Drosophila melanogaster: one gene and its partner. The main gene of each other region encodes a partner of the protein of the gene in region 2 in a complex. Each region holds a gene or a part of one and is shown on either strand. Other genes may lie near its edges.

The links. Proteins that work in one complex are often made in the same cells at the same time.
Region 1: the proteins of dpr11 (region 2) and DIP-gamma are in contact, whole or in part, in a crystal structure (PDB 6NRR), measured with the Drosophila melanogaster proteins. Residues at the interface, in NP_001262320.1 of Drosophila melanogaster: Asn146, Lys147, Ser148, Ser150, Ile152, Leu154, Asp156, Gly157, His158, Ile159, Val162, Phe167, Ala169, Glu199, Gln201, Ser203, Thr204, Glu205, Lys207; in NP_651649.1 of Drosophila melanogaster: Lys69, Val70, Gly71, Trp72, Leu73, Arg74, Asp77, Gln78, Thr79, Val80, Leu83, Val88, Thr89, His90, Asn91, Gln122, Ile123, Asn124, Ser126, Met128.

Annotation. Positions count from the first base shown.
Region 1 is NT_033777.3:28,967,366-28,971,930, reverse strand, and holds the start of DIP-gamma (Dpr-interacting protein gamma), read left to right. Parts: upstream 1-1,558; 5' UTR 1,559-2,600; intron 2,601-4,565.
Region 2 is NT_033777.3:6,590,297-6,594,873, reverse strand, and holds the start of dpr11 (defective proboscis extension response 11), read left to right. Parts: upstream 1-1,543; 5' UTR 1,544-1,990; intron 1,991-4,577.

The DNA of each region.
Region 1 (4,565 bases), about 22 Mb from region 2:
GATGAGATTATTAAACGTCCCATCCGCTTTTCCCTCTTTGCAGTAACGAAGAGCTAACGACATAAACATCAACCGGCAGCCAATTAATGACAGCGAGCTACAGCGTTTATCGTTTCACTTACAAGCCAATACAGCGGAAAAACCCCTACATTTTCCACCCATACCATCGCCCTGTTAGCCACCTGTGAGTGTGGCCCAAAGGGCAGACAATGAAAATCAACTAAGCAATTGGCAACTAAACGAGACACCAGGATCCAGCTCTCCAAGCCGCTGCAGCAACAAAATGGGCCAAGAAAGCGCAGCTGGCTACTGTTTCCAATTAGTTGGCCATGACTGTGGCAAAAGTGTTGGGAAAACGGAGAGGGTGAGAGGAGTGCCGAGGCACACATGCACTGGCTGCAAAATGAAAATGAGAAACTGAAGAAAACAGAGAAATGGAAACTGAATTATTGCTCAGGACGAAACAGAAGTGGGGGGAAAATAAGGGGCCACGGCGCTTGACTCTAACATAAATGTAATGCTTTTATTAGTTATCGATACCAACACATACATACCCCTGGGTGTAAGCTAGTACACTGAGCAAAATGTCCAAGTTTTTACAAAATACAATTTTTTTTATAGGAATAATGATGAACGCTATTATTAAAAGAATATTTTCAAATAAAATGAATGTAATATTTAAACTGAAATACCTTGCATATGAGATAATAAATGAAATGCCTTTTTTAGTAAAAAATTTTAAATAAAGGTTTTCATATAAATTTGTATACTTTTACATTGTTTTTTCAAAGTTCCTTCATGTGTAAGAGCAAGAAAGATATGAAAAGAGTATAAGCGTGTCCCGCGAGGGGTGGTGATCTAAGGGGGCGGGATTGCGACTCCGGGGAAGACAGCGCTGGTATCCGGCGCCAAAGATTTACCAAACATCCGCTGGAAAATACCCCACTACGATTGCGACTGTGACTCCGGCAGCTGTTGTTGTTAGCCAAGTTCGTTGTTGGCAAACGCGATTGCAGCAAATCAGAAAATACTCGCACAAGTGCGAATGTGAATATTGATGCCACGGCGTAGGTATGTTTGACTTATAATATATGTATAGACATACATATGTGTGTGTGTATGGAGCTGAATGTGTGTTTAGTTGGCATTGCAAAACACAAACACAAAACTTCCATTCTGGTCGTGCTCCGCGAGTCGACTTTAGCCAGCCACTTGGCGCTACTTCGCCCACTTCAGCGCCACTCCACCCACTCAGCGCGCCCATCCACACACACACACAGAGGCACACCCACACACACACACACACACACACCCAGACATGGCCACAGAGCGCTCCTTGCTCGCTTACTTGCTACTTCCGCTTCCGAATCCGTTTTGTGTGCTGTCGCCGCAGAAATTTAACGAAGTCACACGTCGCCAATGCCAGTTCCTCTCGCTCTCTCGCCAAAAAAGCTCTGCGAGCCAGCATCCGAAGCATCCGCGTCATCGTGCCGCTCGTCGGCATCCTTCGTGCGTCCAGCCGTTTCGGCTCCAGATGGCAGCATCCTTTTTCATGCTGGCTCAGTTGCGAATTCAGTTTCGGAGCGTTCGGTGGTGGAGAGCAGCTGCATTTGTGCATTTCGCATCGAACATTCATCGTGATCCCAAGCGCACGAAGTTGTTGTTTTGTTTTGGTTTTTGTCGCCAAATTTCGCGGGATTTTTTCGTGAACGTGTGTGTGCGCGTGCATTTATTTCGCACACTGTCGACGGGGCAATACCAGGATCTGTCGCCTGTCTTCGCCTCAGACTTCTCCTCCGGATCCTGCGGAGCGGAGCGTACGTATTTGTGGCTTCAACTCCGTGTGTCGTATGTGCCCGTGTATGCCTCTGTGTGTCTGTGTGTGTGGCGTACCGGCATACCGTCTTTGTTGTTGGCCACCATTGTAATTGCAGTCAGTGTGGCACTGGCAACGCGGCGTATACTTGACATCTTCGCCGCCAAATTGTGCGATTTCTTCGACTCGTTCAGCTCTCGCGCTGGCTCCTTGAATGCGGCTCCTTGTGACATTGGCGTGAAGACGTGAAGAGCCCTCAAAATCCGCTATTCCACTGTGTTCGCAATCCATTTGCCTGCTGCCCTGGACGGGCAAACAAATTTTTGCAATTCAATTTCTATTGTGCATTGCCGATGCGAAATGTGCGCATCGTTTGCTGTCAATGCCAAGTATTCCGCATAAAAATTGAAAATTGCATGCAAATTAAATAAATAGAGTTCCGGTGAGGAGCTGAGCTGAGCTGCGAGTACCAGCTGAGATAGACACTCAAGAACCCATCCTATTCTACATACTCATCGCACATACGTACATATGCGAGTATCCTTGCGAAAATGACAGTTGTGAGTTGTGGCTCAGATTTGGATTCGCATGCGGGGCGCAATCAAAGCAAACGTCATTAGCACTCGCGACATCGCCTTCGATTGACAGCGGGAGTTGGAGCAGCGGCAGGAGCAGAAGGAGGTGCCAGATCCTGCGGCAGGATTCAGCAGCCAGGAGCAGGCACGAACAACTTTACATTTGCATAACTTCGGTGCAGCTCCAGCGTTCAGATTCCGATTCACAGGTACGAGAAAAACTCCTTACCAAAGTCGATTTCCGTTTCAGCAACCCCTTCAGACCGCCCGCCCGCACCGCATCGCTTTGCAACTTTGCTATCATTTCTATTTTCCTGTTTCTGTTTTTCATACCCGATATCTGTATCCCCACCAACATTTTGCGCCCAGCGCCCAGAAAGGGTAAAATCGGAGAATATTCAGCTCGTGCCATGGAGTTGGGCTGTGGCAAATCCATTGTGGTGCACTCCCGAGGTGGCTTGGATTCGCGAGCTCAGGGCCGTGGATTTACCTTTTGGGTGGTCCTGGGAGGTTCTGGCTGGTCCTGATGGCGATTAAGGAACAAACTCAGTTCGCTTAGCAGCATTTAAGCCCTCTCAGTTTTTTAGGTCAGCTCAGTCGCTCTTGATTTAATGATCCAATAAGGAGCTTCTAGGATGTTCAAATTGAAACCTGTTGGAGTGAATCAAGTTTATCCGGGGCAGCAATTAGAATGATATCCTAATGTCATTTCGAATGGTCGGGAAATGCTTTTAACATTTTTTTAAGCAATTGCAAAATGTAATATTCATAAGGTACTTGGAGTACTAATTAAGTACCAATTAATTGAAAATTGCAAAATAAAAATGGCACCAATGTTTAAATCCAACTATATCTTATAACAATTTTAGTTAGGCAAAAGAAGTTTGCTTTAAAAATTAAAATTTAACGATATTTTAAGACCTGAAGACAAGAACTTTCGCACAGCTGAAAAACTCAGTTTAATGACACTGCCAAATAAAACTACTAGTCATTTCCAGAAAGTCTTGTTAGCATTTGATGTAAATTGCAAGGAATAGTTTTAATTCTTGACCCGATTTCGGAAAAAATCGTTGGTTGCTTTACTAGTTTGGTAACTCTGTAGTAGTAGTATTTTTTCAATAATTTTCTATAATTTATTTTACACACTATCACTAAAATGAGGGCACCTGCGCGTCCAGAGCTCGTGACAATAGCATCTCCGATTTGTTTTAGCTTTGCCAGCTCTGCTCTTTGGTTTAGTATCAACTTTACGGCTGTTTCAGCTCCGGATTTCTTGCCCACTCCACTTCGGCTCCATCATGGCCACGTTATCCAACTTTTAGTTATGGCTTTCGCTTTTCGCATAATGTCAGTTTTATTTGGTTTTGGTTTTCACTGACGGGGCGTGCGCGCACTGGGTGGCAGTGGGTCTGCCCAGGAGGAGCAGGGACGTAGAGAATGGAGGCCAAAGTCCCGTCTCAGATCCATGCCAATGCCCAGGATTCAGGATCCAGGACTCAGGACCTGAGGCCTCCGGCCCCTTGCCCGGCCATTCGGCACCCTTGCAAGATTTATTGTGCCTCATACACTCGTACACACGTACACATAACACCTTCTGCCGGGGACCTTCGTCCTCCGTCCTCCCTGGATCCCTTTTGGGTCCTTCTCAGCCGCGCCTTGGGTTTCACATTCAGCTCCATCTCGTTCTTCATACATCTGCAGTCCCATAATCTCTACTATTTGCATCGCAGACTTTGCTTTGGATTTTCCTATGGCAATGGATTTAGTTATGGTTTTTCTTACTCTCCGGCTTTCCGCTTCCAGCCCTGCCATCGCCCAACGCCCCTCTCTCTTCCTCCTGCTGTCCATCCGTCTCCTCTCCGGTTGCGCTTTTTTACTTCACACACACACACACACACACACTTATACAGATTTTCCCGGCAGTCGGACGTTTGTTTTTCCTCTGCCGTTCCGCACACACACTGAGCAAAAAAGGTTTGCCTAGTTATGGCTCAGAAAGAGAGAGGTAATAGTTGAGTTGTCTGGGGCAGGGGTAGCAAGAAGAAGGACGAAAGTCCTGCGGCAAACCGCAGCAAGCGTCCCAGTTGTTGGCCAAGGGCGTCCAGGAATGCGTCTAATGAATAACCATCGTAATCCATGCTGAAGCCGAGGCGATATGGAAATATGTAAGACAG
Region 2 (4,577 bases):
ATATCCTGGGTTCTGGGAGTACTGAGTCCGCCACCGTCTCGAGTCGTTGCTGTGATTTATTTTGCACTCAATGTTTGCCAAAGTAAAATTGATTGAAGCGTTTGTTGGCGCTTCAATTGATTTTCAGTACAGTACGTATACGAATACGTATGTTGCAGCACCCCTCCCGATTCCCATTCCCTTTCTTCCCCCGATCAGTCCATTTTTGCACCTTATTCTCTGCTCGTGGCCAGCGAAGCATTTCAAGTGCCCGGGCACTTGAGTCCCGGCTTGTTTACAGTGGTTAAATTAACTTTGGTCAATTTGGTTTTTGTCGAGTGGTCGGACATTGCATTGAGACGGAGTCGCTTGGACCTTACATTCACCAATCTTATTCGTAACAATGCTTTGTAGGCATAAAGCCTTTACTTAATACGGGAATTCATTCGAGGTTTTTTGAAGGGTGTTCCAATCGGGGCTGTCTTTCCATTGAGATATACATATATATTTATAATATAAAAATATAAAATTATTTTATAACAATTAATTAACGATATTATTAAATAATATTGCTCCAGCAAATATTTGCTGGCCTGTGTTTGGTTAATAGTCGAATAATCGGTTGCCCCTCAAAAATGTCACAGGCAAGAATTGCAACCATTCATCAAATGTCGTCCTGTGATTTTATTAACCGACGCTGATGGTGATTGAGGCACATCGGAGCCATCAACACCTGCAGACGGCAGTCGATCATCAGGGGCCCATCCCCTATTCCTAGCCACTTAACACCCACCATTTCCGCATCCCACTAACCAATTCCCCAGCAATCACCACCAACTGCAGTCGCATAAATCTTGGGCTGTCAAGTGCAAACAGAAGGGGAGAAACCATCAAAGATGGAGCTAACAAATTACTGACAGCAAAACAAAAAAGAAACAATAAAAACAAAAGGAAAGCGCTAAATAAGACAGTGGAGATGTAAAAAAGGGGATATATAATGGCAATAATAATTATGCAGAATATACCAAATATGCGAAGTATAAAAATAAACACGCAACGCAAATGTATGCCACTCATTTTTATGAATGAGCATTTATCATAATTAAAAATTCTGCCGGCACCGGGAAAGGTTCTTCCATCACACCCATACCCTCACCCACTTCGGAGGCCGACGTTTCTGACCTAAGACACGCCAAGCGCCGCACACATATAGCCAGAAATCGAGAAGTATCGTGAGAGTGCGTCAGAGCAAGCCGACAACAAGGAGGACAGCTTTTTTGGGTCTTCTCCGGCAGCGGAACAGCTGTTGCTGTTTGTTTTTGGGACATATCCATGGGAAAAAGTAAGGCACTGGAAGAGCCAGTGGGCCAGTTGGCCGGTTGGTGAATACCCCACTGCGCATGTCCGCCGGCAGTCGCACCCAAAGGACTCTCTTCCAAAGAGAGTTCGAGTCTCTTAGACCGCCGTTTTCCGAGCTAGCTGGCTCGGCTTTTCCCGCGAGTTGGCCGAGCTTTTGCGGGGTTGTCGTGACTGCTGAAATTACCCGTCGCCACTTCGAATGCCGTTGTCGTGGGCTTCAGTTGTGCTTACCGCTCAGTGTGTACCGTTGCTGTCAGTGAGAGTGACCCAAAACTGTGACTGTGACTTAAGCCGTGACTCTAGTGCGTCGGTGGTGCGTCTCGGTGGCGTATGCTTGATGTGATGTGTGGTGCCCTGGCGTATGCTTGATTTGTAATACGCGACCCGGGCGACGTTCTCGCAGTGCATCCTCAAGGATACCAACAGAAGTAACAACAAAACCATCATTGAATTGTGCGTCTCATTTGAAGTTAATCCATAGATATTCTCACACGCACTCGCTGGTGTGTGGTGCGGTGGCTGTGAGGTAGTGAGGTTCGGCCTGTGTGTGTGTGTGTATAATGCGTATGTAATCCAGACAAATCTGTCACGTGTTTTGGATATCTTTTTCTGAGGCCGCCAGTCCGGGTATTTATTGAAAAATTGCACATAGGTGAGTCAACTCCAAATCCCCGCTGCATATGGAAAATAAAATAGTACCCTCTCACGCTGAAAACTAAAATAGTTAAGCAGCTTATGGGCCATGAGGACAGAGCTATGCGGATGATGGGCCAATAACCATAGCCCTTTCCAAATATGGATAAATAAACAAAGATTGGTTATTTAGGGGGGCTAACAACCTTTATCAGCAGATTATTTAATACAATTAGTCTCCTATTTATAAACAATATTATGAATTGGGCTTATAAATAAATTGAATTTAATAAAAATAGGATTTGGTTTGATTGGGTTTTATTCTTCTTAATTGACTACAGATTTTAAAAGCAAATTTACTTCTTTGAAAATAAGCATCATCTTCAAGTGACAGGTGTTTGTTTTTGAATTGTTTGTACAGAATTGTTTAGAATAGTTAATTGTTATTGCATGAATTACTGGGTTCTATTTTTAACTCCTTTTCTTTAAATTCAAAATTATAATAAAATTGTTGTCAGGCCTTTCAATAGTTAAGCACAAATGTTAGAGAATTAACAAATGTTTCGAAAGGCTTAGACCGTAAGGATCATTAAATAAAAGTGAAAGGATAACATTCACATTACATTACCCAAAGATTTATGATTATTTTTGCCTGTATTGAGACTTTGGCCATAAATTAAATAGCTAATGGTCACCCCAGTGGATTTCTTAGCCATTTAACCTTTATGCCCAAATTAAATGACAGAATTTGATTAGACCTATACACGCAACCGGCTTTGGGTGCCTTCTCATCCGGCTGAGTGTATAATAAATGAGAGGTCCTCGGGGCTGTGGTATCATCCCCAGGTGGAAAAGTTTGGCAACTCCCCCGCTCGCTCAATTGTTTATTTAACAGCAATGAAAAAATCATTACGCATTTCATATCCGAACTTCAAAAGGTGAAATTCCCATGAAAAATTATATAAATAAGTTGAAAAGTTTTTAATGCATATCAAATAAAAGAAACATGAGTAGGATGGCCGGAATGCGACTAAAAATCAAATGTTGATTTAAAATGCAAAGTAAAATGACAGCAAGGAGAACAAAGAGTGAGCAGGACTTGCTGTCCTGTACGCAATTTGTCCACGTATTATAATTTTCCCCATTTTTTGCATTCTCTTACACCGCTGCTGGTTGCCCTTGTCCTTGCCCTACTCTCGACCAAGTTAATGTCATTTGCATTCGCCCATATACCCACTTTCCACACGTACATATATTTTTCAACTTTTCACTGGCCATATTTTCTGGTTTGCCGCTCGCCGAGCTGGTCTCGCTTCAAGTTCATTGTGCATTAATAATTTAGTTGTCGTTTCGCCTCCAATGCGAATTCGAGTCGACACCCAGGAAAACTTGTTGGTCGCTTGCCTTTTGCCCTTTGCCCTTTTTGCCCGCTTGTAATTTGATTTTGTTTCCCTATTTTCGGTTGTACTCCGCTGGTCAGCAGCCTCGATGGGAATTGTGGCTCTCCCTATCAGGTCGGTATCATTTGCATGACTGCCTTTTAAATTCGGTCCACTCGTCCTCTGTCTGCGGGACTCGAAAATAGGTTGTCTGATTAAATAAACTTGGCCATCTGTTAATAAAGATTCTTTGTGAGTGGCCAAATAGGTATGAAAATGTGCTCGGAAAGTACATACAACAGGGTGAAAATTGGATCCAATTAAATTGCATGGAACCTATTATTAGATTCAATATCGTTACCTCGATAGTTTAGACTTCAATTCTCTGATTACAAGGGTTATTTAAGGGTTTCTCTTAATTCAAATTATCCTTGTTTTCTGAAAATACAACTTTTATATTATACAGTAATATTTATCTTATTTTACAATTATTTCTATGACACAAACATAATTTTAAATTTGTTATTGATATGTTTGGCAATATGTTTTTCTAAAATTCTCGCGCCAATTTTAGGCCAATCGGCTTTTTTTTCATTAGTTTCCTGTCTCTGAAATATGACAAATCTGAAATCCATTAAGGTTCCATGAACTTTTTAGCTACAACAGCTCATTTGCCGTGCACTTAAAAGGATAGAAAAAAGGGACTAGAAGTGGCAGACGCGACTTGTGAATTTGTTGCTATGAAAAATGATATTAAATCGCTTTTTTCATTATTTTTCCGGTAAAATCGCGTTCTCCATCTTGTCAGACAGTTGTCTCAGCCAGCCCAGTGAAATCCCAGTAGCTAGAGCAAGCCCAAAACCCAAACCCACAACCTCGAGGCTCGTCTGTCGACGTTCCATTTTCAGTGGCGCGTTGCGTTTTGTCCTTTTCAGGGATTTGGACTGGAACTGCAAGAGGCAGGACACAAAGAAAAGTTCACAGAGGAGCGGGGAAATTCTCGTGGAGGCAGATAGAGCAAGTTGAAAATTCAGAATAATGAGGAAACTAACGAGCCAAGACTTTCTCATTGTTTACTGGCGCAAAAATTGCGCGATTATTAATTTTCTATGCTATTTTGTAGCTCTTTTTGCGGCCCCGCTCTGCGCCACTTCATCCCCTCCGTTCACCCTGCCACTGGCACAGCAGAGTTTTCTATATTTTCCTCGTTTTTAATATTTCGCAATA